Elephas maximus indicus: one gene and its partners. The protein of the gene in region 3 interacts with the protein of the main gene of each other region in a pairwise test. Links are inferred from orthologs where the notes say so. Each region holds a gene or a part of one and is shown on either strand. Other genes may lie near its edges. The genes, in order: AP1M2, NEU4, AP2B1 and NUP54.

Region 1 (6,901 bases), on a different chromosome or scaffold from region 3:
TTTTTCTGTAAACTTAAAACTGGGTTAAATACTAAAGTTTATTAAAAAAAGAAAAAGAAATCAAATGATGTATTGAATTGGGCAAATCTGCTGCAAGAGACCTTTTTAAAGTGTAAAGCAAAAATGTCACTTTGAGGACTACGGTGTGCCTGACCCAAGCCATGATATTTTCAATCACTTCGTATGCGTGAGAAAGCTGGACAATAAATAAGGAAGACTGAAGAATTGATGTCTTTGAATTATGGTGTTGGTGAAGAATATTGAATATACCATGGGCTGTCAGAAGAACTATCTATCAGACAATCTTCCGCAGCTATTTATAAGGTTTTCACTGGCTAATGCTTTTCAGAAGTAGACTGCCAGGTCCTTCTTCCTAGTCTTAGCCTGGAAGCTCAGCTAAAACCTGTCCTTCATGGGTGACCCTGCTGGTATCTGAATACCAGTGGCATAGCTCCCAGCATCACAGCAATGTGCAAACCCCCACAGTACAACAAACTGACAGACAAGTGGGGTCAGATGGATCCTGGCTGAAATCAGAGAATACCAGAAGGATGTTTACCTGTGTTTTATCGACTACGCAAAGGCATTCGACTGTGTGGATCATAACGAATTATGGATAATCTTGCCAAGAATGGGAATTCCAGATCACTTAATTGTGCTCATGAGGAACCTGTACATAGATCAAGAGGCAGTTGTTCAGACAGAACAGGGGGATACTGAGTGGTTTAAAGTCAGGAAAGGTGTGTGTCAGGGTTGTATCCTTTCACCATACCTATCCAATCTGTATGCTCGGCAAATAATCCAAGAAGCTGGACTATATGAAGAAGAACGGGGCATCAGGATTGGAGTAAGACTCATTAATAACCTGCAATATGCAGATGACACAACCTTGCTTGCTGAAAGTGAAGAGGACTTGAAGCACTTACTAATGAAGATCAGAGACTACAGCCTTCAGTATGGATTACACCTCAACATAAAGAAAACAAAAATCCTCACAACTGGACCAATGAGCAACATCATGATAAACGGAGTAAAGATTGAAGTTGTCAAGGATTTCCTTTTACTTGGATCCACAAGCAACAGCCATGCAAGCAGCAGTCAAGAAATCAAACGACATGTTGCATTGGGTAAACCTGCTGCAAAGACCTTTTTAAAGTGTTGAAGAACAAAGATGTCACCTTGAAGACTAAGGTGCACCTGACCCAAGCCATAGTATTTTCAATCATATCATATGCATGTGAAAGCTGGACAATGAATAAGGAAGACTGAAGAAGAATTGACGCCTTTGAATTGTGGTGCTGGTGAAGAATATTGAATATACCATGGACTGCCAAAAGAATGAACAAATCTGTCTTGGAAGAAATGCAACCAGAATGCCCCTTAGAAGCAAGAATGGCGAGACTGCATCTTCTATACTTTGGACATGTTGTCAGGAGGGATCAGTCCCTGGAGAAGGACATCATGCTTGGCAGAGTACAGGGTCAGAGGAACAGAGGAAGACCCTCTATGAGGTGGATTGACACAGTGGCTGCAACAATGAGCTCAGGCATAACAACGATTGTAAGGATGGCTCAGGACAGGGCAGTGTTTCATTCTATTGTGCATAGGGTTGCTATGCACAATAGAATGAAACGGAACCGACTGGACAGCACCTAACAACAAGCCAGAAGAACGAACAAATATCTGTCTTGGAAGAAGTACAGCCAGAGTGCTCCTTCACATACTTTGAACATGTTATCAGGAGGGACCAGTCCCTGGAGAAGGACATCATGCTTGGTAAAGTAGAGGGTCAGCAAAACAGAGGAAGACCCCCCATGAGATGAATTGACATAGTGGCTGCAAACAATAGGCTCAAACATAGCAACAACTGTGAGGATGGTGCAGGTCTGGGCAGTGTTTCATTCTGTTGTACATGGGGTCACTGTGAGTCAGAACCATCTCGACAGCACCTCACAACAACTACCACGTTATTTAGTTCTCACCACAAACCCTGTGATGGAGGTGTTGCCATCATCTCCATTTTATAGATGCGGAAGCTGAGGCTATGAAAGAGTCTATGGAACCATGTCCATAGTAAGCAGGGAAACTGGGAATCGAAACAAGGCGGCCTGGCTCCAGAATTCTTGCTCTCACCCCGGGCTTCATATGCACCAGAGTGGTAAGGTAGGGCTTATGAAAAACGGAGAGGGGAAGGGGAAAGGGAGGGGAGAGGAGGGGAGGGGAGGGGAGGGAAGATTCTATCCATGCACCTCTTAGAGTTCATGTCTGTCTGCCCTGCCAGCAGTAAGCCAGCAATAATAATAGTACTTAGGCTGTTGAGTCAAGTGGTTAGAACAGAGAGGGCACACAGCAAGTCTCTAAATAGCTTTCACTATTAATATTATCAGTATTATTTTCACACCACCATTGTTACTGCTGCTATTGCTGAATGACAAGGTGGATAAGGGAGCTTCAGGAAAGGACAAAGCAGCTCTAAAGGGGAATTAGGGCCTTCTGCAGCCTTCCCCGGGTATTAATTTTGTGGAAGATGACAGTGATGGAAATATAAACTTCAATTTATTGAACGCCTAATGTTTGCATCGGGGCTAATGTGCTAAGCGCTTTACACACTTTGAATTTTATGAGTTCTGACTGGGTGGGGACCTTAGTTACCCCCATTTTTAAGGCAGGAGAAATTAAGAACCCGAGGGGCAAAGCCCGTTGTCCCAGGCACACGGCCAGTAAATGGTGGAGGTAGAATTCAACCCGGACACACGGGAATTAGAGTGGAGGGGGGCGTAGGTTTCCACGCCCCAAGAGCTTTCTGGAGTCTTGCTAGCTTGCGCGGATGTGCCGCCCCTAGGTTGGGGGGAGCTTAGCCTCACCGGTCTGGCCCCCTACACCTGCGCTTAGCCTCACCTTGCCCTTGACGTCGAGGATGAAGACGGCCGAGGCGGACATAGTGGCAGCCGGTGGATCTGAGAGGCGAAGAGGGAGAGCCAGAAGGTAAAGACAGCACCGCTTCCTTCTTCCTGCGGAAGCGCCCACGCCCAGGTGAGCGCCCAGGTGAGCCCTCTTAAAGGGGAGGCCGCCGCCAGGTGAGCGGCGCGGTCGGCAGACGCGACAGCTATTGAGAGGGCTGGAAGGGGGCGGTCCTTCGGTTGAGACAGAGGCCCCGGCTCACTTTCTCTTTGCACCTGTGAGTGCTGGTGGGCAAAGACAGCGGACCAACCGACCGCCTGTCTGTCAGTCGGTCCCTCCATTCATTCATTCATTCTCCTCTGTCTCTACCATAAGTACACAAGCCCCAATAGGGCCGGGGCTTTGTCCTGTTCCTGCCTGTGTCTTCTGCGCCCAGTAAAAGACCTGGTAAAAAGGTACACAGTATAAAAAAAAAAAAAAAAATTTTTGTAGGTGTTGAATATTTGTTGAATTCATTCATTCATACAATAAATATTTACTAATTAGTTTATTCTGTCACTCAAATATTTACTCACTAATAAATTCTTTCACTCAGTGACTGGAACCTTGGGAAGGATTCTGAGCAAGACAAATGTAGCTGCTTTTAGTGTTTTCCTAACGTAACTCTTGTCCATTTGTTCAAAATTATTTATTAAGCCCTGGTAAGGCCGTGGTTAAAGCACTTGGCTTTTAACCCAAAGATGCTTCAAACAAACCAGCCACTCCACGAGAAAAATATGTGGCAGTCTGCTTCTGTAAAGATTACAGCCTTGGAAACCCTAAACCCCTATGGGGCAGTTCTACTCTGTCCTACAGTGTCACTATGAGTTGGAAAGTTGGGATTGACTCAGTGGCAATGGGTTAATGGGTTTGTGACACTAAAAGAGCCCTGGTGGTGCAATGGTTAAGCTAGGCTGCTAACTGAAATGTCAGAACCCACCAGCGGCTTCGAAGGAGAAAAGACCTGGTGACCTGCTCCCATAAAGATTAGAAAACTCCATGTGGCAGTTCTACTCTGTCACATGGAATTGCTATAAGTCAGAATCGACTCAATGGCACACAAGAAAAATGTGACACTAAGATGTAGATAGAATATGGAAAGGATAAATGATAGTTATTATTATGGCTACAACTCCCAGGGTAGCACAAAGGGTTTGCACTCGGCTGCTAACCTAGAGGTTGGTGATTTGAACCCACTCAGTGGAGCCATGGAAAAAAGCCCTGTCAACCTGCTTCAAAAGAGATTACAGCCAAAAGTACCCTCTGGAGCAGTTCTGTAACAGATGGAGTCACCACGAGTCAGAATCAACAGGACAGCAACCTGTTTTATTATGACTGTAATTATTATGTCATAATATTATTCCAGCATATCCTTACTGACCACCTACTGTGTGCTAAACTGGGCATCTGGAAGGGGTTTCGTTATGGTGATGATGGTCATGTTGATGGTGATCCAATCAGCTAATGAATATTTATTGAGCACCCGCTGTGCTCTTGTGGATTGTGATGTAGACAAGGCTGGTACCCCGGTTCTAGGGAGGGTGAGAGACACACAATTAAAAAAAAAAAAAAAAAAGATGATTCCTGATGAGGATGAGACCTTTGAAGACAAGGGTACTAGGGGGCAGGGCTGACAGAGAGTGAATAGGGGCTATAAGTCAGGAAGATCAGAGCTGACATTTGACAGAGGTCTTCGAGGCCCTGTAAATAGTAACACTGTAAGACAACATTATTGCCAGCCCTTCACTGTGTCCCTGAATTTCCACCACAACTTTATGAGCAGGGATGATCCAAGCGATTGAGCCCAGTGCAGAGTTGGGCACACAGCAGTTACTAGTATTGGTTTTGCTGTTGTTTATTGTTACACGTGTACCAGAGAAGCTCATGGACTCCAGATCCAGCTGCCCGAGCTCAGGTTCTGGCTCTGCAACTGGCCAGCTGTGTGGCCTCTGGTACCTGGCCTCCCTCCCAAGGTCTCAGTCTTCACATCTGTGAAAAGGATTCATAACTGCACTTTTCTTGTTGGGTTATCATGCACACAACAGCATGAGTTATTATATGCAACATGGTGCATGGAACATGCTTGATCATGACAGCTATAATGATGATAATTATGACAACAATGAGGATTGTGGTGGTTAAGAGAACAAGTGCGGGGTTTGAATCCTGACTCCACCACACATTGCCTGAGTCATCAGGTTTGAGAGCCCCTTGGTGATCTGGTGTATAACAGAATGAAATGTTGCCCAGTCCTGTGCCATCTTCATGATCATTGTGTTTGAGCCCGTCCCTGCTGCTGTTGTCAGTCCATCTCACTGAGGATTTCCTTCATTTTGCTGACCCTCAATGGCAACAGGTTTGGTTTCTCTACCAACCATGATTTCCTTTTCTAACAATTGTGTCCAAAGTAAGCTAGCCAAAGTCTCTCTGTCCTTGCTTCTAAGGATCATTCTGGTAGTATTTCTTCTAAGACTGATTTGTTCATTCTTCTGGCAGTCCACAGTGTATCCAATATATAGTGCTCATTATAGCGAAACTTTGTCTCACATACTTTAGACAAATTATCAGGAGGGATCAGTCCCTGGAGAAGGACATCATGTATGGTAAAGTAGAGGGTCAGCGAAGAAGAGGAAGACCTTCAACAAGATGGATTGACACAATAGTTGCAACAATGGGTTCAAACTTAACAATGATAGTGAGGATGGTGCAAGACCTGGCAGTGTTTCATTCTATTGTACATTGGATCACTATGAGTCAGAACCGACTTGACAGCACCTAACAACATATGCAGGCATATGCACTACCCTAAATATCTGGTGTGTGGGAATCCTTGAGACAACTCTTTAATTTAGGGAACACTATTATCTCCACAGAGCCCTGGTGGCACAGTGGTTAAGAGCTCAGCTGCTAACCAAAAGGTTGGCAGTTCAAATCTACCAGCCACTCCTTGGGAGCATTATGGGGCAGTTCTACTCTGTCCTATAGGATTGCTATGAGTTGGAATTGACTCAACAGCAGTGGGTTTTTTTTGGTTTATTATGTTCATATGACAGATGGAGAAACTGAGGCTCAGAGAAGGTGAGTGACTTGCACAAGATCACCCAGCTAGTAGTGACCAAACTGGGATTCGAGCCCTGCAAAGCCCAGGAATTCATACTGCCTCTGCCCAAAGGAGGGAGGGCCTTCCATGCTCTTACCCACTCCCTGCTCAGGAGGTGGTCTGGGGCGATACAGGCTCTCACTCCAACTCAGGCACCCCGGAGCCTCACAAGGATTCCCCTCCTAGGGCCCTTAGTGAGATGTTTTCAGGTAGTAAATAGAACTCAAAAGCCAGGGCCTAGTGCACTGGAATCTGAAACTCAATGCCTGTTTGGCTGAAAAATTCATGAACCCAAAAGCTGCAGTGGGGTCAGAGAACAGAGCAGCTCTGTCTGGCTGGCCCTGCCCAGCCTGGCCTATTTGGTGGCAACCACGCCCATCCCAGCTTCTAGACACTTGCAGCCTGCACCAGGCTTCTTTCAGCTACCCTGCCACTAGGAACCCCTTTCAATCCCTTTTTTATGTCACTAAAGGAACCTCTGAAATACAACTACTATGGTCTCACCCACTCTCACATCCCCCGTGGCTCCCCATTGCCCTCAGACATTGCCCCCAGTTGACCTCTGCCGCAGGGCACCCTGAACCGCTGCCCCAGACAACTGACTTCCATAATTTCAGTTCCCCTCTTTGCCTTTCTCTTTCCTCCGGCACCTGAGCCCTCTCTGCAGAACGCCTGCCCCTCTTTGCTCTTACCACTTGGTTCTATTCTCATTCAGCTCTCAGGCCTTCTCCTTTGGGAAGCCCTCTCTGTCTTACACTCCGTGTCTCCATCACGTTCTTCCTCTGTGCTTTCCCAGTGCCCGCTGCTCCCCCCATCACAGCTGTGTGATACCATACTTATATAAAGTTAACTCTTACTGAG
Region 2 (7,943 bases), on a different chromosome or scaffold from region 3:
CCCGCTTCCCTGTGGGGACAGGGAAAGGGAGGGGGGCCCCCTCCCTCAGTCTGGTTGTGTTGGCCGAGAGTGCTAACTGTCCTTGGGGTCCCCTCCCTCTCCTCTAACAGGAGATCCTGGGGGTTTTACTGGACAAACTGCCACCCCCCCCGCCAGGAGGCCGGCTGGCCCTGGCCGTGGGTGTAATCACTGTCCAAGTCCTTCCCTAGAAAGTGGGTCCATCCTTCTTCCCTCTCCCCTCCCTGGGCTGGGGCTCGGGGTGGCCACAGAGAGAAGGACGGACGAGACGATGCCCAGAGACAAGGATGGGTTGCACAGAGCCTGGTCCTGAGCTGCCGCCCCTTCTGGGCTCTTTGCTGGGTGGCAGTGTGCCTGTCCCGCTGGCGTCGCTGGGATTTAGGGTTCTTCTCGGGCTACTTCATCTCCCCTCAATGAGCACAGAGGGCTGAGACACCTCAAGGCAGGGGTGCAGTCAGGGGCTCACGGGTGCCCCTCACAGGGCAGCTTCTGCAGCAAGCTCCCAGAAAGGGAGTCCACCTCCCACCCCAGCTCTCCTGTGGGGCCTTTCAGCTTGGGGGCCAGGAGGCACTGGTTTCCAATAAAATATGTTCAAGCATGAATTTCAGACACCTTCGTTTTCTTTAGTCTGACTGGGGGAGGCAGGAGGGGCGGCCGTGAAACACTCTTCTGGGATATTTGAGTGTCGAAGCCAGCGCTGACCCTTGGTCTCCAGGTGGAATCCACCACCAGGACTGGAGGCCCCTTGGCCCTGGAGCTCCCAGCCACGCCAAGCCCACACACCACAGCAGGCTGTTCCCAGGTGCAGGGGACTCCATGGCTCTGCCCGAACTTTCTTAGAATTTCTTAGAACAGCCTACATTTCCAATACCCCCGCCAACTCCTCTCTGTGGGGAGGAGGTCAGCCCTCCACCTGCCCCTCCTCAGTACCCCAGTGAGCTAATCCCACAAGGTCTCCCAGGGCCTGAGCTGACAAATGGATTTACATCTCAGTGTCCACATTTGCTGTGAAATCACACGATTTCTTACTGTTCCAGAGCTTGTTTTCCATTTGAAGCCCCGTGTTTAGGACTGGAGGAGAATGCCCTTCATTTCATTGCATTCACTCCCTGCCCCGCTCCCAGCACAGAAATCCTCTGGCTCACACCTATGGTCCTACCCCTTCCAACTGATCGGTTACTCTGGGAGCAGGTTTGAGGTTCATGTATTTTTAAGGAATTGTTGGAAATTAGTTCTTAAGTCATGATTTGCCTGCAACACTCTGCTTTGAAGGAGCGTTTTGGTCCATCCCGTTGTCTTGATTCCCAAACCACGTTCGGGATCAGGACATGATGGATGGGCCAGCACCCCCGCCTTCACCAGGCACGCCTGCTAGGAGCAGTTTATGGACCCAGTGGGTGGACCGTGGCCTTGCTCTGAGCGCTGGCTGAAAGTGGGGGCTTGCTTTGTTCACAAATAATCGCAACCACAGGAAAGAAGCTACAGCCACCATGATGGATTGACTTGTGTCCCCCAAAAGATAAGCTGAAGTTGAAACCTCTCTTTGAATGTGACCTTGTTTGGAAATAAGGTCTTCGAGGGTGTCATCTGTTAACATAAGGCCACACTGGAGGAGGATTGATCCTAATCCCATCCAGTTGGTGCCCTTAAAAAGAGAAGACGCAGAGAGACAGAGGGAAGAGGGTCAGGTGAAGAGGGAGGCCAGACTGGAGTGAAGCATCTGTAAGCCAAGGAACCACCAGACGCTGGAGGCTAGGAAGGGTCTGCTGACACCCGAATCTGGACTTGTGGCCTCAGAGCTGTGACAGTGTACATCCCTGTTCTCTTTAAGCCCCAGAGTGTGGTGCTTTACTACAGCAGTCCTGACACCATCCAGGTGCCCTGGGCAGGAGGGGCCATGGGAAAGAACCCTCCCCATGCGCTGGGCGTGCAGGGCGGGGGGATGGGGCTGCGGGCATCTGCTGTGTCCACAGGTGCAGACGGGGCCTCCCGAGGAGTCACACCCAGCACTGTGGCTTCGCCTTCCTACTTGATGGAGTGGGCTGTCGACCACATTTCTGTCCCAGCAGAGAGCAAACTGAACGTCTCAGCATACACAAGGCACTGGCTGACTTCACAAGCTTCGTTTGCTCTAGTCGTTTCTGCGTGAACTTGGGCGTTTTGTTTTCATTTAAAGATTCGAAGTGTACATTCGGTGGCATTAGTTATTTTTGCTGTGTTGTGCAGCCATTGCCCCAACAGAAGCTCTGCCCTCCGGCACTGACTCCTCAGGCAGCAGGACTTTCCGTCACTCACCTCCTTCCTGGCTGTTAGCGTGTCCCCTACACGAGGTCACGGTGAATGGCCCGTCGCCCTTCACCCCACAGGCCATCCCTGAGGCTATCGAGGCTGGCAGCTGTCCGGTCCCCCAGAGGCACCCGGGGCGGAACATCCCCACCTGTCTGGGGTCTGCGTGTCCATTCTACATAAGCGCCTCCTGGCTCCTTGCAGGTGAGGTCGTCCAACCTGCCACCTGTCTGGTGGGGGAGGTGGCTCAGTCCCCAAATGAAGGTACAGACCGCCTTTCCTTCTCACAGGAACCTCTGTGCTCAATCAGCTGACCTTGAAAGACTTCCCACTTGCGGCCAGCAGAGCACAAATGGGCAGGCTGTGGGGGCTTCTCGGCTGAAGAGGGGTAGGGGCGGGGGTGTCCACACAGCAGGCACGGATGGGAGGCAAAGTCTACGTGGTCCACTCTGGCTCTCATGCGAGGGCGTCTCTGGGTGGAATTGGGACAGCTGACATGGTGCTCCTGCCAAGGTCAACGGTGGCCCTCCCCACAGCACAACACTTGTTGGGGAGCCCCCCCAAATCCCTGGGCTGCCACTGGGCCACCTGTTCCTGACACGCCCCCCTGTCCCTTCTGGACTCCTGCCCCTGGCCCCCTCTACGATACTGAAGCTGCAGACCCACCAGGAAGGCCTTGACGCAGCCCTGGATGTGGCCAGCTGCCGGCTCGACACCCAGACAGTGGGGCCTTGTCCGCTCTGCCCGGGGGGCTGGCCAGGCAGATATTTCCCGCAGATAAACCACCTCTGGCTCTGTAGCAGCTGCACAGCCAGGAAGCCCTTCCCTGGTCTCCCTGCATCGGGCCTGGGGGCCAGGGCAGTGAGGCCGGTGAGTACCCCTCTCCTCACCCCGCATCAGGCCTGGGGGCCAGGGCAGTGAGGCCGGTGAGTACCCCCCTCCTCACCCCTGCACCTGAGCCTGGGGGCCAGGGCAGCTGAGTCCCCTCCCTACTCCCCCCTGTACCTGAGGTCCTGCAGTAAACTGAGCCGTCCAAGCCCTGGAAGATCCAATACAAGACGCGCTGGCCGCGGAGTCTGGGGGCTGGGGCTGGCCCAGAGTATCCAGAGGAGCCCAGGCAGGATGGCGGGGAGGGGGGAAGGAGCTGCAGAATGACTCCAGCTGCCCAGCCAAGGGTCGGGCGCCAGGACAGCATGGGTCTCTTCCTTTCTCCTAGAACATCCATACCAGGGAAGCCACCCCATTCCTGCAGAGGGCCTGCCTGGGAAGGTGAATGGGCATTTGGCCATAGACGCCTGGGTCACTTTGCAAAGAGTCACAGTTCTGGTCACGCAAAGCCTGGAACTCTGCTTCTTTTAAAGTGAGGTGGCAGAGCCAGGGAAGGTTCCCCTGGGCCTCCGGAGCTCCATGGAAAACCGTGGCCTCAGCAAGGATGCTCTGAGTGCCTGCAGCCCTGTTCTCATGGTGGGCCTCAGTTTCCCCCCGTACAGTGAAAGGCTGACCAGCTGGTCTGTCTCTGAGCCTGTGGTGGCCTGGCTCCCTGCCTGCTTCTGCAGGCTGCGCTGATACCCGGCTCGAGGCAGGCAGGTGGCCCAGCTCTGGGGAGGGAGCCAAGCATGCAGAGAAGGTCCCACTTGTGCCCAGGCAGCCCCAGGCGACGTGTGGCATCTGCACCTGTGTCCAGCTTGGACACAATTGCCCTTTGACTGCAGAGCCCAGGGCTTCCAGGAGACAAGATACTGCTCTCAGAGCCCCAGAGGTGGTGGTGGTGGGCAGGAGTCTCCAGCCAGGGTGAATCTGGGTCATGCTGGGGGGTCTGCTGGGGCTTGGTGGGAAGCAGGGATGGACCTGTGAGCTGCCTTCCAGGGGCAGGAGGTCCTAGACTAAGAGTGGAATGAGGTGGAGGTCTTGTCTGGCTTGGGGACCTCAGGTGTGGGGCTCCCTCGGGTGCGGGGTGGTGGATCTCCTGTGTGTCGTTGTCAATGTGGGGTGTGTGCAGCTTTGATCCTTGCCAAGGAGTGGTGGGGAATACCGTTCATCCCCCCTCCCCACTCATGTCTCCATCCCCACACATCACAGCACCCCCTGGCCCCGACTACCCTCCAGATCCTCCTTGTGGCCGGAGGTGCCTTCTTCTAGTGAGAGCTGTGTGTCCCTGTGTGCACATGTGTCTGTGTGCTCATTTCTGTGCCAGCATGTGCACACGTGTGTGTCTCTGTGTCTGTGTGCATGTGTGTCCGTGTCTCTCTGTGTGTCAAGCATCTCTTTCCATGCGCCATGTGTGTTCCTCTGTGTGTCAGTTCTGAGTGTTTCTCTCTTTCTGTGGGTGCCTCTGGTGTCTTGTGGGTCTGTTTGTCCACTGCGGCTGCCATGCTGGTGGTGGGGCCTTAGGAGGGGTCACTGAGCCCCTCCTTGTCTGGAGCTCTGGGCTCTCATGTCCACTTGGGCCATCTCCTGCTGGGCAGGTTCTATGATGACCCTAACACCGCCTTGAGAGGAGGAGAGAGCCAATCCCACAGACACTCGGGGACTCAGTGGCTGTGGGTGAGGGAGGGAGGAAGGATGCTGGGTAGGCACAGGGTGGAGGGCTGGCCCCCCTCCCCACTGACTGAGCCCATTCTGCAGAGATGGGAGCCCCACATATTCCTGCACGCTCGGTGCTCTTCCAGCGGGAAAGGACCGGCTTGACGTACCGTGTGCCTGCGCTGCTCCCCGTGCCCTCTGGGCCCACCTTGCTGGCCTTTGCTGAGCAGCGACTCAGCCCCGATGACTCTCATGCCCACCGCCTGGTGCTTCGGAGGGGGACACTGGCTGGGGGATCTGTCCAGGTGAGGGGGTTGGGGGCTCTGTGCAGGTGGAGGGAGATGCTGGGGGCTTTGTGAAGCACTGAGGGAGTTGCTGGGAGGCTCTGTGCAGGTGAAGGGGGTGAGGGGGTCTGTGCAGGTGAGGGGGACACTGACGGGGGGTCCTGTGCAGGTGAGGAAGGCTGGGGGGCTCTGTGCAGGTGGATGGGGATGCTGGGGAGATCTGTGCAAGTGGAGGGAGATGCTGGGGGCTTCGTGAAGGTGAGGGGGGCTGGGGGCTTCATGCAGGTGAGGGGGATGCTGGGGAGCTCTGCACAGGTGAGGGGGCCTGGGGGGCTCTGTGCAGGTGGGGGGATGCTGGGGACCTCTGTGCAGGTGAGGGGACCCTGGGGAGCTCTGTGCAGGTGAGGGAGATGCTGGGGGACTCTGTGCAGGTGAGGGAGGTCTGGGGTCTCCGTGCAGGTGAAGGGGTGCTGAAGGGCTTGGTACAGGTGAGGGGGAATCTGTGAAGATCAGGAGCGGTTCCATGCAGGTAAGGAGGGTTTCTGCACGTGAGGGGCTCCAGGAAGTTGAGGGAGGATGCTAGGGGGACTCCTTGTAGGTGAGGGAGGTTATAGGCTCAGTGCAGGTGGTATCCCATCTTAGAGAAAGACGCAAAAGGGTCTGAGGCTGTGGCAGTGTCCACTGGGCAGACCCAGGTCTGAGTCTGGCCGTGGCCACCTCTGCAGTGGGGCAGCCTACATGTGCTGGGGACGGCGGCGCTGGAAGAGCACCGTTCCATGAACCCCTGCCCTGTGCATGAGGCACGCACGGGGACTGTCTTCCTCTTCTTCATTGCGGTGCTCGGCCACACGCCTGAGGCTGTGCAGATTGCCACTGGCCGCAATGCCGCCCGCCTCTGCTGCGTGACCAGCCGCGACGCGGGCCTCACCTGGGGTGGTGCCCGGGACCTCACCGAGGAGGCCGTGGGCAGCGATGAGCAGGGTAGGCTGGTGGGTTGGGAGCAGGGAGGGCAAGGGGGGAGGATGGTGGGCGCAGAAGGCAGGACAGGCAGGGCGGGGGTGGGGGGATGGGTGTGGGGGACTGGCAACTAGAGGCCAGCAGCCTCCACTGGAAAAAGCGGGCCTGCCCCTCCCTGAGGACGTGAGCCCAGCTGCCCACATCCCTGAGGTCTCAGCCCCACCTTCTTCATCTGACCCTCGCCATCTCTCCCCTTCCTGGGCTCATTTCTTTGCCCAGGAGAGGGTAGATGCTGAGGTCCCTCTTGGCTTCCAAATAACAGCTTCTGTCCTGCCTCCTCACCATGTCCTCTTCCTCCTCCCCCTCCTTGTCCCTGTTTTGAGGGCCCAGGCACGAATCACAGGGCAGGTGGCCAACCCCAAAGCCGGGCTTTCCTTCCATTCCTGCTGACCCCCAGCCTGACCACCCACTGCCTTCCTGGACTTGGGTGCCTCATCGAGGGGCGTGGACATGACACACCAAAGCCAACCCAAAAAGTGAATGCCCACTTGTGTGGACCCTCCCAGGGGACACAGCCAGTGCTGGCTGTCTCCAGACCCTGTCCTGAGGGCTGACCTGAGGGCTGTCCCCAGATCCCACCCCGAAGGTCCCCTCACTTCCACCACCCTCCCTTGCTGCCTTGTCTGCCATAGCAACTGGGCAGTGCCCCCGCATGGCCATCTGTCCACTTGCTCTGGGGGCTGGCGGCTTTTCCAGAACTCTGGCTAAGGGGGCTGCCTGGGATCCTGCTGAGATGGGGGCTTCTGGCAGATGTCTTTTTAATGGCCTCGAGTGCTGTGTCCAGCCTGTGAGGAAAGAACAGTGAGGGCCCAGGGCAGCGGATGAGCCAAGGGAAGCAGTGGTCAGTGGGCGGCTGTTCGCTGAGGCCCCGCACACGCCGTCCTGGCTGGCGTGGCCAGGGCTCCAGCCTCAGTTGGCCCTCTCTGTCCCCCTAGACTGGGCCACGTTCGCTGTGGGTCCTGGCCATGGGGTACAGCTGCGCTCGGGCCGCCTGCTGGTGCCAGCCTATACCTACCACGTGGACCGCCGTGAATGCTTTGGCCGCATCTGCCGGACCTCCCCCCATGCCTTCGTCTTCTACAGTGACGACCTCGGCCAAAGCTGGCGCCATGGGGGCCTCGTGCCCAACCTTCGCTCAGGCGAGTGCCAGCTAGCGGCTGTGGAGGGTGGCCCGGGTGGCCCTGTGCTTTACTGCAATGCGCGGAGTTCCCTGGGCAGCCGTGTGCAGGCGCTCAGCGCTGATGAGGGCACTTCCTTCCTGCCTGGGCAGCTGGTGCCCCCACTAGCCGAGACCTCCCGTGGCTGCCAGGGCAGCGTGGTGGGCTTTCCAGCCCCCTTCCCCAGCTGGCTTTGGGCAGGCACCCAGCTGGTGGGTGCCAAGAGCCACCCCCAACCTCCAAGCTCTGGTCCCAGAGTCCAAGGGTCCCTGAAAGAGGGTGACGAAGACCTCTGTGGGGCAGTAGTGGTCTGTGGGGATGGCCCTGGGGAGCTTGGCCCAGGGCCTGGGCTTGGCGGGGATAGTGCAGCCTCTGAGGCCCCTACTCCGAGCCCCACGTGGCTGCTCTATTCCCACCCAACGGGGCGCCGGGCTCGCCTTCACATGGGTGTCCGCCTAAGCAGGGCTCCCCTGGACCTGCACAGCTGGACAGAGCCCTGGGTGATTCATGAGGGGCCCAGCGGCTATTCTGACCTGGCTGCTCTCCCAGGCCGGCACATGGGGGGCCTGGCCTTTGCCTGCCTCTACGAGAGTGGGGTGCGGGTCTCTTATGAGGAGATTTCCTTCTGCCTATTCTCCCTGCGTGACGTGTTGGACAA
Region 3 (7,010 bases):
GGGATCGGGGTGCCAACACGGGTCCGGTACGCGAAGACTGTGTCCAGTTTGGGCTGTAAAGTATCCCCGCCCGCGCCCGTCCTTGCTACCTGACCACAGGCGAGGCGCGAAGGACCCACAACGCCACGTTCGCGGGGAGGTCTCGGCTTTATGACAGAAGCGGTAACCGGAAATAGAAGGCTCCGCGGCCTCAGGGAAGTGGCAGGAGGAGAGGGGCTCTAGTCCGGAACGCGGCGCCGAAGCCGGAAGTAGAGAACTCTATGACCCTTCCGCTTCCGCCCCCGCTAAAATTAAAAATGTCTCCTATGGGATAGTTTTGGCGACGAATTCTCTGTTTGTTTTACTTTTTCTGAGTCTATACAGGTGAAAGCCACAGATCTGATCATCTCTTTTTGAAGTTTTTTTGAGGAGGTGTTTGCGGTGCTCCGAGCCCTGACGCCCCCGGACATAATTTGGGCTGGGTACTGAGTCCTGTGTTCCCAGGATCGATGGTGCTAGAGGCCGAGGGACAAAGAAATCGGGAGATGGGAGGGTTTTCTCGTGTGCCCAAGGCAGGAATTGGTGATCGTTAATTTTATTTGACCGCTTTCTGGAAAGGATTCGAAGTGACCCAGCAAGAGATAAGGAGGCCTGGTGGCGCAGCGGGGAAAGCGCTGGGTCGGCGGTTCGAATCCATCAGTCCCTACGCGGGAAAAAGTGTTTCCTTAAAGATTTACAACCTTGGAAACCCTTATAGAGAGCAACCAAAAACCAAACCCAGTGCCGTTGAGTCTTCCGACTCGGCGACACTATAGGTCAGAGTAGAACTACCCCATAGAAGAATTGCCCCATAGAGTTTCCAAGGAGCGCCTGGTGGATTCGAACTGCCAACCCTTTGGTTAGCAGCTGTAGCACTTAACCACTACGCCACCAGGGTTTCCTTATAGAGACCATATAGGACAAAATAGAACTACTTTTCCCTATATGGTCGCTATAAGTTGGAATCAAGTTAACCGCAGTGGGTTTGGTTTTGAGTAGCAGAAAATAGAAGCCTTTAGCTCTATTGCTGCCAATTAAAAAGATTAACCCATTGCGGGTCAATCGATTGGGACTCATAGTAACCCTATAGGACAGGATAGAACTGTCACATAGGATTTCCAAGGCTGTAAATCTTTATGGAAGCAGACTGCTGCGTCTTTCTACGCAGAGCAGCTGATGGGTTCCAACTGCCTTTTGGTTAGAAGCTGAGTGCTTAAGCACTTCGCCACCAGGGCTCATATATACGTATATATAATCTCCAACGCAGTGCCGTCGATTCCGACTCATAGCGACCCTATAGGACGGAGTGGAACTGCCCCATAGAGTTTCCAAGGAGCGCCTGGCGGATTCGAACTGCCGACCCTTTGGTTAGGAGCCGTAGCACTTAACCACTATGCCACCAGGGTTTCTCCTATATATATATACACACACATATATGTATACATATGACATGGTGGTGGTTGTTCCGTGCCAGTGAGTTAATTCTGACTCAGCACCCTATGTACAACACAGAGAAACACTGCCTGGTCCTGTGCCATCCTCACAGTTGTTGCTATGTTTGCGTCCACTGTTGTAGCCACTATGTCATTCCATCTCCTTGAGGGTCCTCCTCATTTTCACTGACCCTCTACTTTACCAAGCATGATGTCCTTCCCTAGGGACTGATCCCTCCTGATAACAAAAGACTATTAGTTGCTCAGAACTTTCATCCAGGCTGGTACCTTAACTGTCTTCCAGGTTTTGGTTACATTCAGCCATATGTTTTCCTTAACATCATCTCAAAGTATTTTCCCTTGTCATTAAATACAACCAAACCAGTTACCACTGAGTCAATTTTGCCTCATGGTGACCCCATGTGTTGCAGAGCAGAGCTTGAATCCATTGGGTTTTCAAGGCTGTGACCTTTTTGGAGCAGATCGCCAGTCCTTCTGAGGTGCCTCTGGGTGGATTCAAACCACCAATATCTAGTTAGTAGTAAAACACTTAACCATTTGAGCTACTCAGGGGACTCCATTATATAGTCTTCAAAAATATGATTTTAAAAAGTATTTTCCAATCATAGAAATAAATACATGTTCAGCGTAGAATGCTTCTAAAATTAGGAAGAAAATTAAAATTCTAACCATCCAGCAATAACCACTCAACATTCTGCTGAATATTTTTAGCCTTTTTAAAAAATACATATGCAATCACACTGTATATATTATTTGGTATCTTGTTTTTTTTTCTCTTGACATGATCGTGAATTTTCTTGTGACATAAAATATTCTACAACATTATGCAGCTATTTGATTTATCATAAATGTTTATGTTCCCTCTTGTGTTAAAATTAGGTTTCCAATTTTCACCTATTTCAATAATAAGGGCAATAATAATATACGACTATGTTTTACAAACCTTTTAGATACTTCTGATTACTTAAGAATGAAATTTTAAGATGCTTACACACTTTTCAGGTAGCGTAACAGTTAAGTGTTTGGCTGCCAACCAATAGGTAGGTGGTTTGAACCCACTCAGCTGCTCAGCTGGAGAAAGACCTGAGGATCTGCTCCCATAAAGATTGTTGTCATTGTTAGGTACCACAGAGTTGATTTTGACTTATAGCGACCCTGTGACAGAGTAGAATTGCTCATAGGATTTTCTGGACTGTAAAATCCTCACGACTGAACCAACTAGCAACAGCATGATAAATGGAGAAAATACTTCACCTGTCAAGGATTTCATTTTACTGAGATCCACAATCCACGCCCATGAAAGCAGCAGTCAAGAAATCAAAGACATAGTGTATTGGGCAAATCTGCTGCAAAAGACATCTTTAAGGTGTTAAAAAGCAAAGATGTCACTGTGAGGACTACGGTGTGCCTGACCCACACCAGGGTATTTTCAATTGCCTCATATGCATGTGGAAGCTAGACAGTGAGTATAGAAGACAGAAGAATTGATGCCTTTGAATTTGGTGTTGATGAAGAGTATTTAATATACCATGGACTGCCAGAAGAACAAACAAGTCTGTCTTGGAAGAACTACAGTCTGAGTGCTCCTTAGAAGACAGGATAGCAAAACTTCGTCGTACATACTTTGGACATGTTATCTGGAGGAACCAACCCCTGGAGAAGGACATCATGCTTGGTAAGGTAGAGAGTCAGCAAAAAAGAGGAAGACCCACAAGGGGATGGATTGACACAGTGGCTGCAACAATGGGCTCAAACAGCAATGATTGTGAGGATGGCACAGGACCGGACAGTGTTTCCTCCCGTTGTACAAGGGGTTGTTATGAGTCGAAATCAACTCCAGGGCACCTAACAACAACATATACTTTTCCACTCTCACAAATTTAATAGGTAAAAATGTGAGGGAAAAAGGATCCACTCCCACACCCATCCCTATTACTTACTCTGATTAACCTTGTTCTCTAGTTCTGGATCCTGGAATCTAGGCCTTTGTTTCTGAAAAGGTGAAAGGGAACTTACTTTTGTGAAAAGCACATGTATTACATGATAGGCGCTTTACCTACTTTATCTCATTTAAGGTTTACAACCCAGAGAAAAGAAAATTAAGACTGCGGTGAAGTTAAGTAACTTTCCCAGTCATCCTCAGGGCTGGAATTCGAACTCATGTCTAATGGCGACTCAATCTCTTCTTGCATCGCTCTCCTCTCGTCCCACTGCCTGTGTATAATCCTTGGCTGGACCCAACACGTGAATTTGCTGATTTTGTTTTGTTTTCAGAAAGGAACATGATATTTCACCTGCTCTATATGTAAACTTTTCAGAGAACTCCTGTGCGAGGAAATAAATCCAGAGAATGTCAGTTTGTTCAATATATCCCTTCAGATAGCCACTAAACAGCCTCCGGGTCCCAGGTCTCAAGACCTCTTCTAGACCAAGCAAATCATTCTGTCGCCAAGACGACAGAGGTCACAGCCTTTCTGATTCTCCGGCGCACGCCGATGACGTCTCGCGACTAGGTCCTCTTACGTCACGTTTCCTGTCCCCCATCTTTGTCCCTGGCAAAGTGGGTTTTGCGCAGTGGCTTAGACCTGCAGAAGGAATCGTGACGGGCAAGAAACCATTACACCACCACCGAGGCCGCGCTCTCTGGCTGCTGCCGCCTCCCCCGCCCTTGCCTCCGGTGAGTTCGAGCTGGCCGACTTTGGGGCGTGTCCCTCATTAAAGGGAGGGAGGAAAACCCCTGCCCGGGTCGGAGACGGAAGGGTCGAAATCCTAGAAACTTGATTGTTTGATTGTTGAGGGCGAGGGAGCCGTCGTGTGTGACCGTTGTGAGGAAGAGGGTTGGCGAAAGAGACTCCTCCGCGCTGGCTTGGTGAGGTGAGGGAATTGGCGGGCGTGGCCGCTGGCAGATGCGGGGTGCCGTGGCGACGTACGTTCTGTAGCTGCCTTGATGGCTAGTCCGGGAGTTAGGAGGGCCGAAGGCCAGGGGTGTGGCCGTTGGAGACGGGAGGCCGAGGGGAGAACCTTCCTTCTTCCCCGCCTGGCGTCCTTCCCGGAGAGGCTGAGACGTGTCCACTGAGCCCCAAGGAGGAGGATTCCCCCAAAGCTTTGCTTGTCGGTAAGGCCCGACTTTTTCGCCTCCCCTCCAGGATTTTTTTGAGAGTAAGACACTTCTCCCCGCCTTGCAATGGAGGAACCTATCCCTAGAGTCTTAACCACCTGGGGAAAGAAGAGGAATTCCTTACGCTTGGGAGGAAGAAAAAGAAACCTCCAGCAGTTTGACCAGCTGTGAGAGAGGAGGAAGCAAGTGGGGGTTAATCTTACAGCAGCATGGTTTTGGGTTTTTTTTCTTTTTCCTTTCTGGGCTTAGCAGGAATGATCTGGTTTAGGAATGTTGGTAGGTTAAGGTAGTAGTGAAGAAACTAGAACTTCCTGTTATTTCCACATTCTTTGAATCCAAAGAATTTATGCATGCTATTTGTTTACAGCAGTGGGTTTTTTGGTTATTTGTTTACAGGGTAATCTTATATCTTGGAGCAGGCTTTTGTTGAACTCACCTGGTTCCGTGCGGATGCTTCATTAAATTTTGACTTTAAAAAAAATTTTTTAAATGCAGAATACTGTTACCATAAATGTTATGATTTAAAAAAAAAAAAGACGTAGCAAGTTCAAAAAAGGCAGAATGACTGAGAAAGAAGGTGGTCTAAATTTAAATTATTATCTTGTGTTCTGCAATTGCTTAGCCTCGGGGTACACTTACAAAGTAATAATAGAAAGCAGTAGGTGAAGGAGATGCAGCTGTGTAAGAAAACGTGTAACACATTCCAGTGATGACTAAATGTGGTGGTAAGGTGAGTACTGTTTGTAGGTGTCTTAACAGTTGAAACTCCCAAGGAAGCAGAAAGGATAGTGTGTTCTGCAAACAGCCTCACTGAAAGTTAGGTGGTAAAATTAATATAAAGCTAACATTCTGACTGTGAATTAAGAGATTCATGTAAGCCCAGTTCTTCCATCTTTTTTTTTATTTTCTTAAATAGGTGTATATTTTTGCAATATCACATTTTAGGCACAGATTTGAACCAGGCCTGAACACGGAATGAATTGGGTAGGACCTAGTCTCCTTTCTTCTTTCACTCCAGACTTAAGTTTTCCAGAGTGTATTGGTATTTCAGTTAAGAAGTGGATGGATATAAAACTTTTGGGCTCATTTCTTACTGTATAATATTAACTAATTCGTGTTCTGTCACATTTGAATAGGAATCACAAACAATTTTGGCTTTTCAATGTCTGTTGTGATTTTTAGGAGCTATCTTTTTTATATGATACCTGAAGATGCTACCATCTTTGCATTATTAGTATTTGATTAGAAATGAACTTAGCACCTCTCACCTTTGTAATAAAAGGTTGCAGGAATGACCTTTCTGCTTTGTAATTTGGTTAACTCTTTAGCCAGTTTTTCCCTATGGAGCACTAAACTGTAAAGCCCAACTTCTGTGAAAAGCTTAGTGGCCTCCTCAGCACTAATTTAACTACCATTTCCCAGAGAGCCATTTGAAATTAAGATCCTATTAATTTTTTTCTGGCCTTATTCTACTGAGGCTATTAATCTTATTTTGTTGCTCATTTTTTCTTTTAGAGGACTGGAGGGAAATAGGTGGGGAGGTTTTTTTCACAACCTATATTTGGTAGAAACTGGGTTATGTTAAATCTAAATATATAGTCCTGTGCAGGGAGGCCCTCTCTGAAATGTGGTGACATCACACTCTGGGCTAGGACAGGTAAGATTGAATGTGTGCCCTGACTGTGGCAGCTTTGTTGTTTAACAGTACCCCTAGGCCATACCGGGAGCCCTGGGAATAGTCAAGTGTCAGATTGGTCAGTTAGGAAAGTAGTGTGAGTTGGAGCTCCAGGGTGGCTTTGCTTATTCCTGGGGCTCTCCTGAAAGAACCCCAGGAGGAGCTTGATTTTTTTTTTTTTAATTTTTATAGTGCTTTAAGTGAAAGTTTACAAATCAGGTTAGCCTCTCATACAAAAATTTATACACACCTTGCTCTATATTCCTAATTGCTCTCCCCCTGATGAGACAGCACACTCATTCCCTCCACTCTTTTCATGTCCATTCGGCTAGCTTCTGACCCCCTCCACCTTTCCATCTCCCCTCCAGACAGGAGATGCCAACATAGTCCTTTGTGTCTACTTGATCCAAGAAACTCACTCTTCACCAGTATCATTTTCTATCCTATTGTCCAGCCCAATCCCTGTCTGAAGAGTTGGCTTTGGGAACGGTTCCTGTCTTGGGCTCACAGAAGGTCTGGGGACCATGACCACCGGGTCCTTCTAGTCTCAGTCAGACCATTAAGTCTGGTCTTTTTACAAGAATTTGGGGTCTGCATCCCACTGCTCTCCTGCTCCCTCAGGGGTTCTCTGTCAGAGCAGTCATTGGTTATAGCCTGGCACCATCTAGTTCTTCTGGTCTCAGGCTGATGTAGCCTCTGGTTTATGTGGCCCTTTCTCTCTTTTTGGGCTCATAACTCCATTGTG
Region 4 (7,408 bases), on a different chromosome or scaffold from region 3:
CATTCAGGAATTATTTTCTTCATTTATTGATTGTAGATTTGAATGTTTTGTCCTGAATTTTTGTTTTATTTGGTTATGTCTGTGCTGGCGGGCTGGGTGTGTTTTGTTGCTTGCTTGCCTGTGGGCACAATACTTCTCATCACCTTATCCAGGTGGGTAGGGCCAGTCATTCAGCTATGGTGCAGCAGGGCATGTCCAGCCAGGTGGAGGGGCGGGGATGGGTAGTTTGCAGCATGAACTGGGGGTGACGGGAAGAGGTTGGAGGGCAGCTGTCTTAGTTATCTAGTGCTGCTATAACAAAAATACCACAAGTGAATGGTTTTAACAAAGCAAAATTTATTCTCTCACAGTCTAGTAGGTTACAAGTCCAAATTCAGGGTGTCAGCTTCAGGGGAAGGCTTTCTCTCTCTGTCGGCTCTGGAGGAAGATTCCTTGTCATCAATCTTGCCCTGGCTGAGGAGGTTCTCAGGTGCAGGGACCCCAGGTCCAAAGGATACACTCTGCTCCTAGTACTGCTTTCTTGGTGGTATGAGGTCCTCAACTCTCTGCTTGCTTCCCTTTCCTTTTATCTCTTGAGAGATAAAAGCTAGTGCAGGCCACACCCCAGGGAAACTCCCATTACATTGGATCAGGGAGGTGACCTGAGTAAGGGTGGTAGTATTACAATCCCACCCTAATCCTCTAACATAAAATTACAATCACAAAATGGAGGACAACCACACAATACTGGGAATCATGGACTAACCAAGCTGACACATATTTTTGGGGGGACATGACAGCAGTGCAGGGCAGGGTCTGGGAGACTGAGTCATTACTGCTCAGGGGCATGGCATTCAGCACACAGTGCAAATAGGCAGGAGGGAAAGGAGAGGATGTGATGTGCAGAGCTAAGTGGGTGGGTAAAAGAAGAGAAAGAAGAGAGAGAAACAAAGATAAAAAACAAGCAAAAAAATTAAGTTAAAAAAAATTAAATGGCAGTTCAGTAGGATTCGGTGGGTGGGGGTGAGGCTGACCTGGTGAGGCCATGTACTGGTGGCTCTCTAGCCAAGCAGTGTGGCTTGGCCTGTTAAGAAGAGGTGTGGGTGGCGCATGGGGCTAGGTGGGTGGAAAAAGGAAAGAGGGGAAAGAAAGATAAGAAACCAGCAAACAAATAAAATAAATAAATAATAAAAACAACAGCAACCAAAAAATGTGGTGGTGGGGGCAGTGGCCATTGGGGATAGGGCGGAATTGGGGTGGCTGCAAGCTGATCTCTCTCTTGCCAGGTGGCACGGCACGGCCTTTCAGGAAGGGACATAGGCAACGCAGGGCCTAGGTTGGAGGGAGGAGGAAAAGGAGAAGAGGAAAGATAAAGAAAAATAAAAAATATGATGCTGAGGGAGCTGGCCTGTTGGAGCAGCACAGATGTGGGAATGCTGTGTGCCAGAGGCTCTCCAACCAAGTGGTACAGCACAGCCCACCAAGAAGTTGAAGGTAGTGCACAGGGCTGGGTGGATGGGAGAAAAGAAGGGAAGGGAGAGAGAAGAAAGAATAACAAAAAAGAAAAAGAAAACAAACAAAACGATAAATAAAATTCTGCTTAGGGAGCCAGTTGGTGACAGCAGCGCAGACTTGGGGAGGCCATGCACAGTTACTCTCCAACTGAGCTGTGTAGCACGGCCCCTCCAGAAGAGGCTTGGGTGGTGCCCAGGACTGGGTGGGTGGGAAAAAAAGAAAGGAAGGAAAGGAGGGAGAGAAGAAACAGAAGAAAAGAAAAGAAAAGAAAAAAAAAACAAAGCAGACAAACCACAGCCCATCAAGAAGGGGAGGGGATGGCACACAGGGCTAGCTGGGCAGGAGAAAGGAAAGGAAGGAAGGGAGGGAGAAAAGCAATTAAAAAAAAAGCCCCCACAAACAATATTAAAAACAAATAAATAACAAAAAAGCCCCCCCCAAAATAAAAAAACAAAAATACAAACCAAAAAACAAACAAATGAACAACAAAAAAAATGGCACTGAAGGGGCCGGCTGGTGGGGGCAGGACGGACCCCAGCAGCAGTGTGCTAGTGTCTCTCCTGCCGAGAAACCATGGCCCGATGGAAAGCACTGAATGCCACACTGGGAAGGATGGAGAGTGGGAAAGCGTGTATCCCTGGTTATTGGGTGCTCTGTCTCCTGCTGGGAGCTCCATGGAGTTACTTTCCCATACTCCTGTCTGAGTCCTTTGGCAGCTATATCCCAAGATGGTCAATCACGCCACATTAGCTGGTATGGGACCTCCACTCCGTAGCTCTTGCTATTCTGTTCTCTCTCAGTTTTTTATTCCATATGGTGCTTGATCGAGTTCTTTATTCCTTCATTTTGTACTTAGGGGCTCCAAGATTGACATTTGTATCTGCTTTACTTAGTTTTTCAGGTCTTTGCTGCAGAGGGATGCATGGTGCTTCTGTCTATAGCATTCTGTTGGTTCCACCTCCTTTCACTAAGCAACTCTAAACCTCGGTCCTCTCATTTTACCTGCAAAATGTGGTTAATAACAGAGCTTCCTTACGGGGTTATTAGCAGGATTAAATGTTACCGCAAATAAAATTTGAAGGCACGGATTTTAGCATTTAGAAAGCTCATTGTCTCATCTGGGGGACATTCTCCCCATTTCTGAACCCTAGAAGGTGGGCCTTGTCTGCTGTGCTCAGACTTGCGAATTATCTGCACACTGGTCTTTGAGAAAGTAACTTTATTGCAATGTGCAGAGCAAGGCGCCAAGAGGAAGTTCCTTAGATCCAGCTCCCCAAGCTACGGAGAAGCAGGGCTTATATGTGATTTGGGCAGCAAGATGGTAGCTGCACGGGCGTACTAGAGAGGGAAAATTCTAGAAGGTGGCCATGAAACAGGTGATGTGACTCTTGTCGGACCTCTGGCTTCAGAATAGGGTCCAGGCGATGATTTTCCTCATGTTGCTGCATCCTCTACTGAAGTTATGTGGTCACAGCTGGTCCTTCTGGTCATGTGGGGAAGACCAAATCTGGCTTGCATTAGTTTAAGGACTAATAGAAATTTACTAGCATTCACAGGGGCAGGTTATATACCCTTCACTGTTCAGTGCTCATGGTACAGCTTGTTGATTAACATCACGGACTGGATTCAGCGTGTCCCTTTGTGGCTGTTTCCTCTTCCATAAAATGGGGGTGATAATAGTAATTTACTTCACAGGGTAATTGAGGAGTAAACTAAAAAGATGTAAAATGATTAGAAGAGTGTCTGGCACATAGGAAACACAAGATAAGTGTTTGTTAATGTCGGGGGATGGCCCCAGCAAGGAAAGACCCTCACTGTGCATCCTGGCAGATAATCTGAAGAACTGACACATAGCCCTTTCCAGATTCATATGTTCAGGGAAACTTACTCACACAGGCAAGCAGCTGCTCTCTCCAGTGGCGCCTGGATGGAATATTTTCTGCAACCACCTAGCAAGGGACCCAAGCTTATATACCATTCCAGCTGGGACAAAGTCTCATCGTTTTCTACCACGTCCTTGTGCAGTCAGTGCTCCCAGGGACTTAGCGTCCAGGCCCAGATGTTTTCCTTCTTGTTGCTAAGGCATTCTTCGGCCTTGGCCGCTGGCCCAGTCATGCCACTCCTGGCCTTTTACCTTAGTCCAGGTCCATCCCGAATTCATCCCCAGCATGCTTCAGGGAAGAGCAAAGCTGACTCCATTAGGGAGGGGATGCATATCGCTGAATAGCATTACCCTACAGTTAATATTACTGTTATCTTTTGTTCTTCCTACATGTCACCTCTTTCCTACTTCTACTTCGCCCACTCATTTTTCAGGACTGGGTTCAAATAGCATTTCTCGGGGTTGGGGGGACCTCCTAAACCCCAACCTGGGTCCTCCTAGGACTGCTCTTCGAAAAGGCTACATCTTCAACGATAACACCAAGGCATGTATATTCAAGGTGTCTACTGCCTACCTCTACAATAATGACTTCAGGCCCTGCACACCTTTCCAAGATAAGTCCTTAAGGCACATCTGAAGGGCTCTCAGGCAGCATTCCCTCTCAAGCTTCCTAGCGTATTACCTTTGTTGTGACTACCCGCGCCCCGCAATGACACAAAACGCTCAGGAAGCAAGCTGGACTCACGGAGTTTCCTCTTCACCCTCTACGCAGGTCCTTGGCACGTTCCCACCTTCTACGCTGGTGGTGTAGTGGTTAAGAGCCACAGCTACTAACCAAAAGGTCCTCAGTTTGAATCCACCAGGTGCTCCTTGGAAACCCTGTGGGGCAGCTCTACTCTGTCCTCTAGCGTCACTATGTGTCGGAATTGACTCAAGGGCAGCGAGTTTGGTTTTAGGTTTAGGCTGGGCCAAAAAGGAAGCGGAACTGGGTTATCGGGGCCGCAGTTTCCCTGCCGGACGGAAAAGCCAAGCACACGGAGCGTCCCAGGAGCGGCGCCTTGGTCCACTGCTTCCGCGACATGGCCTTCAACTTTGGGGCTCCCTCGGGCACGTCTGGCACCGCTGCAGCCCCCGCGGCCCCCTCGGGTGAGTGATCCTCCCAGACCTTCCGTCCGGGAGAAGGGTCGGCCTCTGGGCCTTCCTGTGCCCTCTAAGTCCGCCGGTCCCCGGCCTGGAGACTCTGGGATCTCCGGCCGGCGCGGAGACTTTATGGACATCGGAAGAGGGCGGGCGGCGGCGGCGGAGCGGGCCAGGAAGGCTCCAGAGGAGGGCTCGGGGGCCAGAGGCTCAACCCAGAGCTCGCGCGCCACGCGTGGGCCCCGCCGGGCCCTGTCTTCCCGGGGTTGGTTTCCCGCCGCCGGGGAAACGGCCTCGCGGACACTCGAGGGGCTCGCTTACCCCCTTGCCCGGGACACGCCTTCTCCTCCCGCCTCAGCCCAGGCGCCTGGCGGGAGGATAGGGCCTGGGGAGACCAAGGCGCTGCCCCGCAGCTCGCTCCGTCCGCGCCCTGCAGGGGCGGGACCCTTCCTCCTGGCCCCGTGGACCCTGGTTACTGGCTCCTCCTTTCACCTGTTCCTACCTATTCTGCTTTCTTGTTTGGAGAAAGTCAGGTTTGTCTGTAAAACTTCTTGCTGATTCTTCTAATCCTTATCTTGCTTTCTTTTCTTTTTCTCTCCTCTCCCCCTTTTTTAATTTAATTTTTTGTTTCTTTGCCTACACGCCTATCAGGATTTGGTGGGCTTGAGACTGCCAACTCCACCGCCAGTGGGTTTAATTTTGGGGGTTTCGGATTAACTGCTAATCCTGCAGTGAACTTTAATATTGGGAATTTCGGTGTTTCCACAACCTCGGCAACTCCGTTCAATTTTGGTAACAGTCTGGCGAGTGCAGGTAGATACTGCGGGCCGTATGTGTAATGAGTGTTGGAAGCCGGAGTCCAAGAATAATATTTCGGGATTCCTAGAGTGTGAGAAAGAATAGTGAGTTGTCTAATAAGGAAAGGAAATTCATTTCCCAATGTTGAATTAAAAACATTCGTTTCAGGTTTTGACTGTCCTAAAAGATGTGGTTCTCGGAAGTCTTGCAAATCATAATGTTCCCTTGCTAAATTTGCATTTAATTGAACAAAATACAGCTTCCAAATGATAAGACTTTGGAATGGGATATTATTTTGAATAGAATATATCTTCCAGATTATTAGCTTTCCCTTCCAAAAATGTAACCTCACTGATCAGGCCCATTTTCTTGGGGTTCTTGGACTCCTGCACTCATTTTTCATTTTCCCTACATCTTTCATTGAGATTTTATTTGATCGTCCTTGTGTTTCCCAAGAGAAACAAGTCTTATACGAACAGCAGTAACTCTCTTGTTTTTTAACTGGTAAATAATGTATTTCTTTGGTCAACTCAGCAGATTAGGGTACATGATTTCTATAAAATACACAATTGTAGAAAGAACCCCAATTCTTTACTGGTTTTTTGGGAAATGACCTGAGAGAGCAATTTTCTTTATTGTCAGACAGCATCGATTTCTAAAAGGTAGGATAGACATTTTTGCATTCTGTCATAGTTTTGAAGATTTTGGTATTTAAATGAATTATTCGAAGCTAGTTAAAAATTTTGCAAAACACTGACTGTAATGGATATATATATATAAATTTAGAATAGGCTTATGTGTACTTTACATAAAATGACCCTATAGAAAAATCTTCTTTTTCAGCTGCTCGTATATGAATTTAGTGTCTGTATCTGTTACATTATGCCGCTTAGGCCCGTGCCAATTATATGCATCTGGTAAGCATTATTTATTCCCTAAAACTTATTTGGGAAGTCTGGTATTTTGAGCATTTACTTATTACTGCACTGTAAATATCACCTTAGCATCTGAAAACAGTTTGAAGAATATTTGAAAATTCTAAAGATAAAAGAATCCATTATCTAAGATATATTTGACATCATTACATGTTATTGTCTTGGTATGTTTACTTTTCTTTGTTTGCTTAAAATTGGCACTGGGTAACACATTATTTTGTTTCCAAATAAAGCCACCCAGCTCATAATTCAGCAATAATAAACGTGTTTGTATTTGTTTGATTTCATTGTTTATTTAGTGTTATCACTGTTAAGTTTTGAGTTCTGATAATGTAACTGTTTTAACTACATTTATGTTAGTTAACGTAGCCTTCAGCAAAGGGCTGATAGAAATTCTTGTTTGCTTTTTTTATTTTGTATCATTGCAGAGTCATTGTTACTAATAAATATTCTTGGTATTGTGGAGCATGATAAGATATTGACTAGTTTTTTTTGTGGAGCCAATTCAGAGTATATCGTAGTTATTAAATGGGTGTGAGGAGTAATGAAAAAGACTAAGATCAGTGTTTAGTACTTTAGGTGATTTTTATTAAAATATTTACAGTTTGCTGTACTGCAGTAGAACCTACAAGTAAAGAGAGTGTTTGGCTATGCTTGCATACAATATAGGTGTTCCTGGGTGGCACGAATGGTTAAGCACTGGACTGTTAGCAGAAAGGTTAGCAGTTCAAACCCACACAGAGGCACCTCAGAAGTAAGTCCTGGCAATCTGCTTCCAAAAGGCTGCAGCCTTGGAAACCCTATGGAACAGTTGTACCCTGCACACATGGGGTTGCTATGAGTTGGAATTGACTCGACAGCAACTGACAACAACTGCAGCATACAACATGCAGTTTACTTTTGATTAATTTTACACATCAGAATTATATGATCTACTATCAAAGAGATTTATGTTACTGTATTGATACATCTTTGTCCTGCGTACCAGAAATATATGCAATTCAAGTTAACCAAAAACCAAACCCATTGCCGTTGAGTTGATTTCGACTCATAGAGACCCTATAGGGCAGAGTAGAACTGTCCTGTAGGGTTTCCAAAGAGTGGCTGGTGGATTTCAACTGCCGACTTTGGTTACCAAGTTCTTAACCACGGCGCCACCAGG

The links.
Region 1: the proteins of AP2B1 (region 3) and AP1M2 interact in binary tests that used the Homo sapiens proteins (3 or more experiments, as listed by UniProt). The two-hybrid records come from large-scale screens. The link is inferred for Elephas maximus indicus from reciprocal best matches to the Homo sapiens genes AP2B1 and AP1M2.
Region 2: the proteins of AP2B1 (region 3) and NEU4 interact in binary tests that used the Homo sapiens proteins (3 or more experiments, as listed by UniProt). The two-hybrid records come from large-scale screens. The link is inferred for Elephas maximus indicus from reciprocal best matches to the Homo sapiens genes AP2B1 and NEU4.
Region 4: the proteins of AP2B1 (region 3) and NUP54 interact in binary tests that used the Homo sapiens proteins (3 or more experiments, as listed by UniProt). The two-hybrid records come from large-scale screens. The link is inferred for Elephas maximus indicus from reciprocal best matches to the Homo sapiens genes AP2B1 and NUP54.

Annotation. Positions count from the first base shown.
Region 1 is NC_064821.1:28,633,422-28,640,322, forward strand, and holds the start of AP1M2 (AP-1 complex subunit mu-2), read right to left. Parts: upstream 3,009-6,901; 5' UTR 2,941-3,008; coding exon 2,899-2,940; intron 1-2,898. UniProt on the Homo sapiens protein: Subunit of clathrin-associated adaptor protein complex 1 that plays a role in protein sorting in the trans-Golgi network (TGN) and endosomes.
Region 2 is NC_064824.1:143,630,471-143,638,413, forward strand, and holds the start of NEU4 (sialidase-4), read left to right. Parts: upstream 1-4,931; coding exon 4,932-5,132; intron 5,133-5,836; coding exon 5,837-6,092; intron 6,093-7,063; coding exon 7,064-7,943. UniProt on the Homo sapiens protein: Exo-alpha-sialidase that catalyzes the hydrolytic cleavage of the terminal sialic acid (N-acetylneuraminic acid, Neu5Ac) of a glycan moiety in the catabolism of glycolipids, glycoproteins and oligosacharides.
Region 3 is NC_064837.1:30,139,938-30,146,947, forward strand, and holds the start of AP2B1 (AP-2 complex subunit beta), read left to right. Parts: upstream 1-4,007; 5' UTR 4,008-4,149; intron 4,150-4,165; exon of another isoform or gene 4,166-4,346; intron 4,347-4,364; exon of another isoform or gene 4,365-4,587; intron 4,588-7,010. UniProt on the Homo sapiens protein: Component of the adaptor protein complex 2 (AP-2). Adaptor protein complexes function in protein transport via transport vesicles in different membrane traffic pathways.
Region 4 is NC_064823.1:81,130,095-81,137,502, forward strand, and holds the start of NUP54 (nucleoporin p54), read left to right. Parts: upstream 1-4,393; 5' UTR 4,394-4,455; coding exon 4,456-4,522; intron 4,523-7,408. UniProt on the Homo sapiens protein: Component of the nuclear pore complex, a complex required for the trafficking across the nuclear membrane.